3 linked regions of the Stegostoma tigrinum genome follow. The protein of the gene in region 1 purifies or fractionates together with the protein of each later gene. This does not show direct contact. Links are inferred from orthologs where the notes say so. Each region holds a gene or a part of one and is shown in the gene's direction. Other genes may lie near its edges.

The links.
Region 2: the proteins of usp22 (region 1) and taf6l purify together in Homo sapiens (affinity purification with mass spectrometry; 3 studies listed by BioGRID and IntAct, with this or other methods). This does not show direct contact. The link is inferred for Stegostoma tigrinum from reciprocal best matches to the Homo sapiens genes USP22 and TAF6L.
Region 3: the proteins of usp22 (region 1) and tada2b purify together in Homo sapiens (affinity purification with mass spectrometry; 4 studies listed by BioGRID and IntAct, with this or other methods). This does not show direct contact. The link is inferred for Stegostoma tigrinum from reciprocal best matches to the Homo sapiens genes USP22 and TADA2B.

The regions. Positions count from the first base shown.
Region 1 is NC_081376.1:20,209,431-20,213,179, forward strand, and holds the start of usp22 (ubiquitin carboxyl-terminal hydrolase 22), read left to right. Parts: upstream 1-1,202; 5' UTR 1,203-1,387; coding exon 1,388-1,507; intron 1,508-3,749. UniProt on the Homo sapiens protein: Deubiquitinase that plays a role in several cellular processes including transcriptional regulation, cell cycle progression or innate immunity.
Region 2 is NC_081395.1:3,303,496-3,307,244, forward strand, and holds the start of taf6l (TAF6-like RNA polymerase II p300/CBP-associated factor-associated factor 65 kDa subunit 6L), read left to right. Parts: upstream 1-1,431; 5' UTR 1,432-2,050; coding exon 2,051-2,197; intron 2,198-2,356; coding exon 2,357-2,443; intron 2,444-2,948; coding exon 2,949-3,099; intron 3,100-3,192; coding exon 3,193-3,243; intron 3,244-3,749. UniProt on the Homo sapiens protein: Functions as a component of the PCAF complex. The PCAF complex is capable of efficiently acetylating histones in a nucleosomal context. The PCAF complex could be considered as the human version of the yeast SAGA complex.
Region 3 is NC_081354.1:56,828,473-56,832,221, reverse strand, and holds the start of tada2b (transcriptional adapter 2-beta), read left to right. Parts: upstream 1-1,540; 5' UTR 1,541-1,595; coding exon 1,596-2,873; 3' UTR 2,874-3,749. UniProt on the Homo sapiens protein: Coactivates PAX5-dependent transcription together with either SMARCA4 or GCN5L2.

The DNA.
Region 1 (3,749 bases):
TAAAACCACAAGGTAATTTATGGCTTGGTTAGTAACACATTTGTCCTTGGGTCAGAGGATACTGAGTTGAAGACATTTTCTAGGGATTTGAACACAATCCCTAAACAAAGGGGGCAGAATGATTGCTGATTCCACCCGGCCATACCCAAAAAAAAACACAAAATGCAACCTTAACCAGTACCAAGGAGGCATACACTCCCAGTATACTGATAAGAGTAGATGTACAATTGGAACTCATTTTTAAGACTTCTCTCATTTGCCCTCTGAAGAATAAAAGATTCCACTCCACTATTCAAAGCAATTAATTTATCTCTATCACAAAGCTGAATGTGGGAATTTGCGGTGCCCAACTAGATTAACTACACAAAATGCTAGATACCACGTTGGATTCAGAAAAACATTACACAGTTGCCCTTTGCAATTCGCTCGGACTTTAAAGAAAACGCTTAAAATTATGAAAATACGGACGCCCGGAAAAGTGCAAATAAGAGAAATTAAAAAACAGCTAAAAAAGGTGCCGGGACACATAGATTAATCTCTCCACCAGCAGAACAACCAACTGGCCAAGTTATTTTGAAAGTCTTTAAGAGATGAGATAGGACGGAGGTGGCAAGGTGCTCAGCTAAACCAAGGCCTACAGGGTGGAGTCAGGAAGGCACCCATGGGCGAACAAGACAAAAATCGGTGGCGCCGGCGGGAGATTCCATTACACAAATGAAGTCAACAATTCACATAACAGCGACATTTAGGCAACCATATGTACTTTCAATAGAACGTAAGGAGAAAAACCTAACAAATGAGGAGGCCCTAAAACCTCAGCCAGCCAGTAACAGGAAGCCTTAGCAGCAGGAACCGGAAGCAGCGCATTCACGCCATTCAAATCGCTCAAACGCCCGTCCTCTATACCGGTACCGTCAGCCGATAGACAGCACAACAACCAATTAGAAATGGAGCAGGAAACAAGGGCCGGATGTTATCCAATCGGAGCACAGCATGTGGGCGGGACATCCGCCAGTGCGTTGTCTCTGCTACCCTCCCTCCGCAAGGCGAGAAAAACCTCCGGTCCCGCGCAGTGATGGATAGTAACGCTAACCAATCGGAGGACAGGTTGTGTAAAGGGCCCGGCATCTTGACCAATGACTCTGCAGGGGTAGGTGGGACTTCCTGCAGTTTCGGCGAGTTTGCTTTCCTCCTCCCGGAGCGCTGCCGCCTGACGACCATCATCCTTTGCCGACACTATGGGCTTTTCTTCATATAAATAATCGGAGCCGCGACGGCGGCGGGCGGCGCTTTGGGGGTGGAAAGCGGCGGAGGAGGAGGCGTTGCGGGGACAGCTTGCGGCCCGAGATTGCGCGTTGGCGGCAGTGCTTGTGGTGCGGCTCCTGTCATGAGTCCGGCCGGGTGCTCCCATGTGAACAGTTTTAAGGCGGACAATTGGAAGCAGAGCCTGCGAGTAATTTACCAGTGCTTTGTGTGGAGTGGGACTGCGGAGAGCAGGAAAAGGAAGGTAAGGGCCGGGCTCGCCACGGATAGGGGACTCTCCAGCAAAGGCAGCCTCGCAAGACGGACCTCTCTCGTTTGAGGTGGTGAAGAGTCACTGACACTGCTACAGTAATGGATAAGAGCTACTGTACAAGGGAGGCTCTCACTGGGACCGTGAGGGGCACAGTTGTAAGGGGAGGGACAGAGGTGGAGTCGTCGCATGAACAGTGATGGGCAAAGATGCAGGTGGAGTCTCTCTGACAGTAAAAAAAAAGGTTGAATCATTTCAGAGGACTCAGTTATGAGGAGAAGCTAGGAAAAAAAGAGAAAGATGATGAATGCGACAGTGATACCTAATGATACTTAAATTTAGATGGTTAATCCTTAGCACTATTTGAAATTGGTTCATGACAAGGCTAGAAACTGATAAAGGTCAGTTTGGGACAGATGCCAGAAAGTTTTCTTTTTGTGTGCAGGGTGATTGTTCCCTGCAGTAGTCGTAAAACTAGTGTCTTTTAAGTATGGCCCTTTATAAAAGGGTGTCTAGGTGGGGCTTGTGGCCTCCCTTATTTTGTTTTTTTTTGAGACAGGTCATGCTAAATATGTCCAGCAAGATCAGGGACTTAATTAATGGTTCTCAGCACCGTTGTGGTCAGACAACTGACAGATACCCAGTGTAATAATACAAATTTGAGTTTTATTGGACTTGAAATGTTAACTTTACTTCTGTCTCCACAAATGCTGGTAGGCCTGCTGAGTTTGGTTTTTTCAGCATTTGCTTTTGAGACAAATTTTGTGCAGGAGCTCTGTGGGTTGATTTGCTTTGTTCTGATATGATGAGGGAAAGTGGCATTAAGCTTCTCAGGAATACACTGTGTCCTTTTAAAATGGCAAATGTTCCTGTTTTTGGCATGTTCATGTCAGTAAGCGAAAGATGTGTTCCCATGTTGAGGAAGTCCATTAATACTGGCATTTTGTGCCCTTGATAGATGTAATAAACTGTTGTGCAAATACTGTCCCTTTTTAATAGGGCAAACTGGCAGTAGTAGTGTTGTAAAGAATGTTATTATCTACTGTGGTGCTCTAGAATCCTAGTATTGTAGGAATCACCTTATGATCAGTTTGCCTCACCTTAACAGTGTAGTCTGCAGTACGATCTGGCCAGGTTGTACCAGTGTGTGAGATGTTAACAGGAGATGTTATCGAAAAACAGAATCTGCATTATGTGATTAAAGTAAGGGGTGCCTGCACTATTGGATTTCTTCAATATAAAGATACTGCTCATTTCTGGCAAGGAATAGGAAGGGGAGATAATCTATATGCAGGATGATCTCTTTCCAAGAGTGAGTTTGCCACACCACAAAGGTATACAAGCAAGGTTATTTTCTTGTTTGTCTACATGCTGTAATTTTAAGATTTACATGCATTTGGAGAGGCATGGACTGATTATGGATAGATGGCACGGTTTAGTCCAAGGAAAATCATATCTTTCAGACTTGATTTTTGACCTCATTTGAGGATGTAATCAAAAGAATAATAGATGTTGTTTACATAGACTTCAGTAAAGCCTTTGACAGGTTCCACATGGTAGATTAATTAGTGAGGTTAGGTCACATGGGATTCAGGGTGAGCTTGCCAATTGGATACGAAATTAGCTTGGTGGAAGGAGACAGGGTAGTCATACAAGGTTGTTTCTCAGACTGGAGGCCTGTTACTTAGTGTTCTAGAGGGATTGGTGCCGGGTCCACTTTTGCTATTGATATAAATGATTTGGATAAACATTTAGACTTTGCCAGTAAGCTTGCAGATATTCAAAATTGGTGGTATAGTGGACAACGAAGAAGGTTGTCTAAGATTCCAAAGAGATCTTTATCACTTGGGTTAATGGGGTGAGGATTGGCAGATAGTTTGATTTGTATAAATGTGAGCTATTACATTTTGGTAAAACAAGCAAGGGCAGGAGTTGCACTAATAATGATAGGGCCATGGGGAGTGTTTTGTAGAACAGAGACATGGGGATTTGAAATTTGTCACAGGTAGACAGGGAGGTAATGAAGGTGTTTAGTATGCCTGTCTTCATTGTTCAGACCATTTGAGTACAGGGCTTGGGATGTCCTGTTGAGGTTGTACAGGATATTGGTGAGGTCTCTTCTGAAGTGCTATATGCCGTTCTGGTCACCATACATATTATTAAATTGGAGGGGATTCAGAAAAGATTTACCAGGATGTTGTTGGGACTGGAAGGCTTGAGTTCTTAGGAGAGGCTG
Region 2 (3,749 bases), on another chromosome or scaffold:
AGTCCACACCGCCCCTTGCAGCATCCCACACACCCCTGAACACTATGGGCAATTTAGCATGGCCAATCCACCTGGCCTGCACATCCCTGGACTGCGAGAGCAAACCCACGCAGACACGGGGAGAATGTGCAAACTCCACCAGACAGTTACCCGAGGCGGGAATCGAACCCGGGCCCCTGGCGCTGTGAGGCTGCAGTGCTAACCACTGAGCCACCGGGCCAGCCCAAAGAGGTGACTAATGACACAGTAGAAGTGTTGGTGGTCATTTCCCAAAGTTTGCTGGATTTTGGGAAGGGAGAGGGACGGAGAAACTAGATGTGTTGACAGTCAGAGATGGCAAGACCTGCAGATGCTGGAGTCAATGTCAACACAGTGTGGAGCTGGAGGAACACAGCAGGCCAGGCAGCATCAGAGGGAACACAGTGTGGAGCTGGAGGAACACAGCAGGCCAGGCAGCATCAGAGGGAACACAGTGTGGAGGTGGAGGAACACAGCAGGCCAGACAGCATCAGAGGGAACACAGTGTGGAGCTGGAGGAACACAGCAGGCCAGGCAGCATCAGAGGGAACACAGTGTGGAGCTGGAGGAACACAGCAGGCCAGGCAGCATCAGAGGGAACACAGTGTGGAGCTGGAGGAACACAGCAGGCCAGGCAGCATCAGAGGGAACACAGTGTGGAGCTGGAGGAACATAGCAGGCCAGGCAGCATCAGAGGGAACACAGTGTGGAGCTGGAGGAACACAGCAGGCCAGGCAGCATCAGAGGGAACACAGTGTGGAGCTGGAGGAACACAGCAGGCCAGGCAGGCAATGGAGGGAACACCGTGTGGAGCTGGAGGAACACAGCAGGCCAGGCAGCATCAGAGGGAACACAGTGTGGGCTGGAGGAACACAGCAGGCCAGGCAGGCAATGGAGGGAACACAGTGTGGAGCTGGAGGAACACAGCAGGCCAGGCAGCATCAGAGGGAACACAGTGTGGAGCTGGAGGAACACAGCAGGCCAGGCAGCATCAGAGGGAACACAGTGTGGAGCTGGACGAACACAGCAGGCCAGGCAGCACCAGAGGGAACACAGTGTGGAGCTGGACGAACACAGCAGGCCAGGCAGCACCAGAGGGGCAGGAAGCTGGTGGATGTGTTGGGTTGGGACTGTTCTTCATCGTGTTACTGTGTCTATGGTGTTGGAATCAATCCATCGCTGCGGAAAAGGGGGAGTGGAAAGCTATGGGGGCGAGATGGGAATCTGAAGCACAGGACAGCCAGGATTTTATTGACTGGTGGGAAAAGGGTCCTCCTGCAGAAGAACTTCCAGATCCTTCCGTACCGCCTGCCTTTTAAAGCCATAGGTGGGGCCCACCTCCAGTGTCGGGGGTTGCGGCCCATTTAAAATTCTGGATCACGTGGATGTGACGTTGGTACCCCGCCCACTCGCCAAGTGGACGCTGATTGGTCCGTGGGATGACCCCGGAAGTAGTTCCCTCTTCACTGGAGATGCAGAGCTGGTGCTTGGTTAATGAAGGGATGTCTAGTTAGTGACGTGCTGCCACTGGTTAATGAGGTGTTATCATTAGTTAATGAAGTTAGTGACGTGCTGCCACTGGTTAGTGCTGGTTAATGAGGTGTTATCACTAGTTAATGAAGTTAGTGAGGTGCTGCCACTAGTTAGTGCTGGTTAATGAGGTGTTATCACTAGTTAATGAAGTTAGTGAGGTGCTGCCACTGGTTATTGCTGGTTAACAAGGTGTTATCATTGGTTACAAAGGGGATATCCAGCCAAGGAGGAAGCCAGCATCTCTGGAAGTTAATGAGAGATTATCCGGTTAGTGCTGGGGTGATTCTGATGAGTCAGTAAGAGGACTGGTAACTAGTTGGAGTGTTGCTGGTTTTTACGAGGAGGCACCTTGCCACAGACGGGTTATGTTAGTAGTTAGTGAGGGATCTACAACTTGTGAGATGCTGGTTAGTAAGGGCCTGGTTACCAAGTGAGAGACAGGGTGTGCTGCTGGTTAGTGGAGGCGGAGAGGGACAGTGTCAGCCGGTGGGAGGCTGCGATGTCTGAGCGTGACGAGAGGAGATACGTGGAGCTGAGCCGGGAGTCGGTCAGACTGATGGGGGAGAGCGTGGGGCTGGAGCTGGGCGACGAGGTCAGCGCTCTGCTGGCGGAGGATGTGTCTTACCGACTGCGAGAGACCGCCCAGGTAAGAGGGCGGGGTGGGGGGGCTCGCTGAGCGGGGAGAGGTCTGCAGTGACCAGTCTGCAGAGACCACTCGGTCCTGGGGGCAGGGCTTGTTGGGGGGGGGATGGGGGGGGTGTGAACCAGCCTCCTCTCATCAGAACCCTGCTGTTGGCTCTTTCAGAACGGCACCCAGTTCATGAGGCACGCCAAGCGCCGGCGCCTCACCGTGGAGGACTTTAACAGGGCACTGCGGTGGGCGAATGTGGAGGTAGGTGAGAGGGACGGCAGGTGGGCGAGGACGGATTCACGTGTAGCAAGGCTTACAGTGCCCCCTCCCTCAGCACTGACCCTCCGACAGTGCCCGCTCCCTCAGCACTGACCCTCCGACAGTGCCCCCTCCCTCAGCACTGACCCTCCGACAGCGCGGCACTCCCTCGACACTGACCCTCCGACAGCGCGGCACTCCCTCGACACTGACCCTCCGACAGCGCGGCACTCCCTCGACACTGACCCTCCGACAGCGCGGCACTCCCTCGACACTGACCCTGGTCACGTCAGCCTGTGTTATGAGCTTTTGAGTCCCTGGTGTATGAATCGAATCAATTCTTCGTCTCCCCTTCAGTGAGATCAGGTCAAACTGCAGCAATCACGTGGAGCAATGTGGTGGACTCGGCGGCTGAGATGCTGTGCAGGGGCCTGAAGCCGTGCCTTCTGGCTGTAAGTGGAGTCTATTATTGCTGGTGCAGCCTGTAACTTACTGCTTGTGTTTCCAGCCTGTGTGTGGTTACGGGGCCCCGGATGTGCTCCCTTTTCGCTCGGTGAAGGAGGGAGAGCTGTTTGTCGTCGAGGATCGTGAGGTGAATCTGGTGGAGCTGGCCCTGGCGACCAACATCCCGAAGGGCTGTGGTCAAACTGTAGTCCGAGGTAGGGAGGCTGTGGGCTGAAGGATTGAGTTCCTGAGCGGTCGGTCTACCCCAGTTACGCACTAATACCTGTTCCCTGTCTTTGCTTGTCCAGTTCAGGTCTCCTACTTGGAGAGTAAAGCAAACGAGGAAGCTCAGGGAGCGGGTGAGTATTACCTCCAATCACATCCTCCCGTCTAGTATTAGACTACCGAGCCCATCAACTGGCAACACCAGAGGGACATACAGATTCAAGAGGTGAACCCGAGGGTGGGGGGGGTGGGGAGTGGGGGTAGGGGGTAGGGGGAGAGGTCTGGGGTGGTAGACAAAGAGAATGTTTTATCTGAGGAATTGAGTTGTAGTGTTCTGGGACCTGCTGTGGGGCAGAGGGACTAATTGCTGAGATCGTTCCCATTTGTGTTACATACGACAGGCACAGGGACAGGTGGTGTTGGGGAAGGGTGGGGGGCTGCAGAAGGACATTGACAGACTGGGGGAGTGGGCCAAGAAGTGGCAGATGGGGTACAGTGTGGGAAAGTACAAGGTTATGTACTTTGGTCGGAAGAATAGAGGCACAGACTGTTTTCTAAATGGGGAAAGGCTTTGGAAAACTGAAGCACCAACAGATTTGGGAGTCCTAGCTCAGGATCCTCTTAAGGTGAGCATTCAGGT
Region 3 (3,749 bases), on another chromosome or scaffold:
TAGTTTTGGCTCCAACATTGATCTCTGCGGTACTCTACTAGTCACCAGTTGCCATCCTGAAAAAGACTATCTGCACTCTGTCTCCTGCCAGTTAGCCAATCCTCTATGCTGGTGCTTAGCCCCTAACACCACAAGCTCTTATCTTATTTAGCAGCTTCTTCCTCAGCACCTTGTCGAAAGTCTTTTGGAAATTCAAATAGATCACATTTGTCAGGGATGACCTCCCCTTGAAAGCAATGCTGACTCAGCCTATCATGCATATTCAAGTATTCCACATTCTCATTCCTAATAATGGGACTCAAAATCTTACTAACATACAATGTCAGGCTAACTGGCCTATATTTTCCACTCTTCTGCTTTAACTCTTCTTAAATAGGTGTGTTACATTAGCCGTTGTCCAATCCTCTGTGACCTTCCCTAACTACAGAGATTCCTGAAAGTTCAACATCACTGCCTGCGCAAGCTCCTCAGCTACCTCTTTCAGAACTCCAAGGTGTAGTCCATCTGGTCTGAGTTATTTCTCTACCTTCAGACCTTTCAGCTATCCGAGCACATTCCCCTTAGTGATAACCATTGCATTCAACTCTGCCTTTTGACCATCTTAAAGTTCTGGAATGCAGCTGATGTCTTCCACTGTGAAGACTGATGCAATATACATATTCAGTTCCTCCACCATTTTTGTTTCCCATTACCACTTCCCCAATGTTATTTTCCACTAGTTCAACATCCACTCCTGCCTCTCTTTTTAACCTTTCATTGCAATCTTCTTTTATATTACTAGCTAGCTTACTCTCATGTTTCATTTCCTCCCCACTTATGGCCTTTTTAGTTGTCCTCTGCTAGTTTTTAAAAGGCTTCCCACTAATCTTCACCATATTGTATGCTTTTTCTCTTAGACTGTCCCAAATTTCCCTTGTCATCCACCGTTGCCTCATCCTCCCATTAGTATGTTTCTTCTTCCTTGGGATGAATTTCTGCTTGCCACCCAATTCATCCCAGAAACCCCTGCCACTGTTGCTCCACTATGTTCCCTGCTAGCCTCCCTTTCCAATCAAGTCTGGCTGTCTCTCTCATGTTTCTGTAGTTATAATTATTCAAAAGCAAACTTCCCTTCTCAAACTGCAGGATGACTTCTATCATGTTATGGTCACTGCCTTCAACTTAAGTTCCCTGCTAATTTTCAAAAGGTTACCTGAAACAGCAAAGGTAACAAGCTAATTGGAGGGGGGAGTATACAAGTGACAACAATTGGTTAATTCTTCCAAAAAGTTGGGGGCCTAATGTGCTCTACAAACTTGCGCACAACTGGCTTTCATATGTAGGAATTTTATAAGCAAAAGTTTAACTTGTGTAAGTCCATACAGGGTCATTCAATGACTATCTCAACACCTGTGAGTTTTGATGAAACAAGAGTCCTTTCTTATCCTGTGCACAGTGGCAAAGTCCATTAATTGGATATCCTTCCCCGTTGCTCCCTTTCCCAACGCCTTCAGGCGGCGCTCTCTGGCGCATGCTCCAACAGTTAGCGAGAGTCGTGGAAGCCGGCCGGCGGGCGAGAGCGCGCACCCACACCGAGCGCGCAGGCTCGTCGCACAATGGCGGAGCTGGGTAAGAAGTACTGCGTCTACTGCCTGGCTGATGTGACGAGCCTGCGGCTCCGCTGCACCGAGTGCCAGGACATCGAGCTCTGCCCCGAGTGCTTCTCGGCTGGCGCCGAGATCGGGCAGCATCGGCGCTGGCACGGCTACCAGCTGGTGGACGGCGGGCGGTTCACGCTATGGGGAGCCGAGGCGGAGGGGGGCTGGACGAGCCGGGAGGAGCAGCTGCTGCTCGATGCCATCGAGCAGTACGGCTTCGGCAACTGGGAGGACATGGCCGCGCATGTTGGCGCGCGTGCCCCGGCGGAAGTGATGGAACACTACGTCAGCATGTATATCCATGGCAACCTAGGTAGAGCGTGCATCCCGGATTCCATCCCGAACCGCGTGACTGACCACACATGCCCGGGCGGCGGCCCCTTGTCGCCCAGTTTAACGGCTCCTCTGCCGCCGCTCGATATCACGGTGGTCGAGCAGCAGCAGCTCGGTTACATGCCGCTGAGGGACGACTACGAGATCGAGTACCTACAGGACGCCGAGACCCTCATCAGCGGCCTGGCCGTCAACTACGACGACGAGGACGTGGATATCGAACTGAAGCGGGCCCACGTTGACATGTACGTGCGCAAGCTGCGGGAGCGACAGCGCCGAAAGAACATGGCCCGCGACTACAGCCTGGTGCCCGCCTTCCTGGGCAAGGAGCGAAAGGATCGGCCGCTCAAGCGCAAGGTGACCAAGGAGGAGAAGGAGCTGCGGGCCAAGCTGCGGCCCATCTGCCAGTTCCTGTCCGCCAAGGAGTTCGACGACTGCTTCGACAACCTGCACAAGGAGCGAGCGCTGCGGGCCAAGATCCGCGAGCTGCAGCGCTACCGGCGCAACGGCATCGCCAAGACCGAGGAGTCGGCCGAGTACGAGGCGGCCCGCCACAAGCGGGAGAAGCGCAAGGAGCTGCGCAACAGCGCTGCCGCCAAGCGCGGCAAGGACGAGGCCGGCAAAGAGGCTGCTGCCGCCGGCGCCACAGCGGAGTTCAACTCCATGGAGAACCTGGCCGGCTTCGACCTGCTGTCCGAGCGGGAGAAACTGCTGTGCAGCTCCCTCAACCTCAGCCCCACACGGTACCTGACCGTCAAGACCATCATCATCAAGGACTATCTGCAGAAGAGGCAGGGCATCCCTTCCAAGAGCCGCCTGCCCAGCTACCTCGACAAAGTCTTAAAGAAGAGGATATTGAATTTCTTAACGGAGAGTGGTTGGATTGCTCGGGACGCTTCTTGACACTGCTCGTTTATTTTCATCTGGAGGAAAATACTTTTTGTTTTCAATGCCACTATGTCCCAAGAAATGCAGCGTTTCTTTTTAATCAAAGAAAGTCCAGATGACTTTCAGTGTAGTGTGCAAAGGCAGTCAGCTGTGGACAGGAATACATGGTTTTCAAACCGTGGAATTTGACAAATTGTAACAAACTTTTTTCAAGATGAGCTAAAGTAAGCAAGCATGTTAATTGAGCCTTGTCAAAGACAGTTGTGCCATTGAACAAGAATGCCGTCAAAAGATCTATCTGAAAAAAAATGGTGGTTGCATCTGGCTGCTACCTTTTTTGGGGTCACGTCCTCTTGTTTTCCTGGCCCTAAATCAACCAACTGTCCCAACGTTCATCTACTGAACATGCTAATCTACAGACTGTTCAGGCCTCTTGGCAAGCCCTGATTCTGGCAGATAGCTAAAAGACTATTGGAGTAGGACGAGGGAATATAATATTGGATAACTGTACTTCTTGGATTCACTAAGGAACTTCAGCAAATCTTATGGCCTGCTTGTGATTCTGATTGAGGGTGGTTGCATTTTGTAAAACCTGCCCCATGTAAGTTAGTGGCAGGCCCCACTAACTCTTGAAAACAAAAGCAAATGATTGTCAAATGAACAGTCCAAAAAAGGTCTGAAAGATGTGCAAAACTTAGGCAGTTGTTGCATTTTGAGTCTCTGCACAACTGATTTGTGGGAATTCTCTTTTTTAGAAACATGGATGGCGATGTTGCATCAGAGGTTCTAATTTGTACAAATCACTTCACAGAAGTCCTTCTGATTTGTCTAAAATGTAGATTTTTGAATGATCCTGTATGACTCTAGCAAGAGTTCATTGAGAATCTGGGC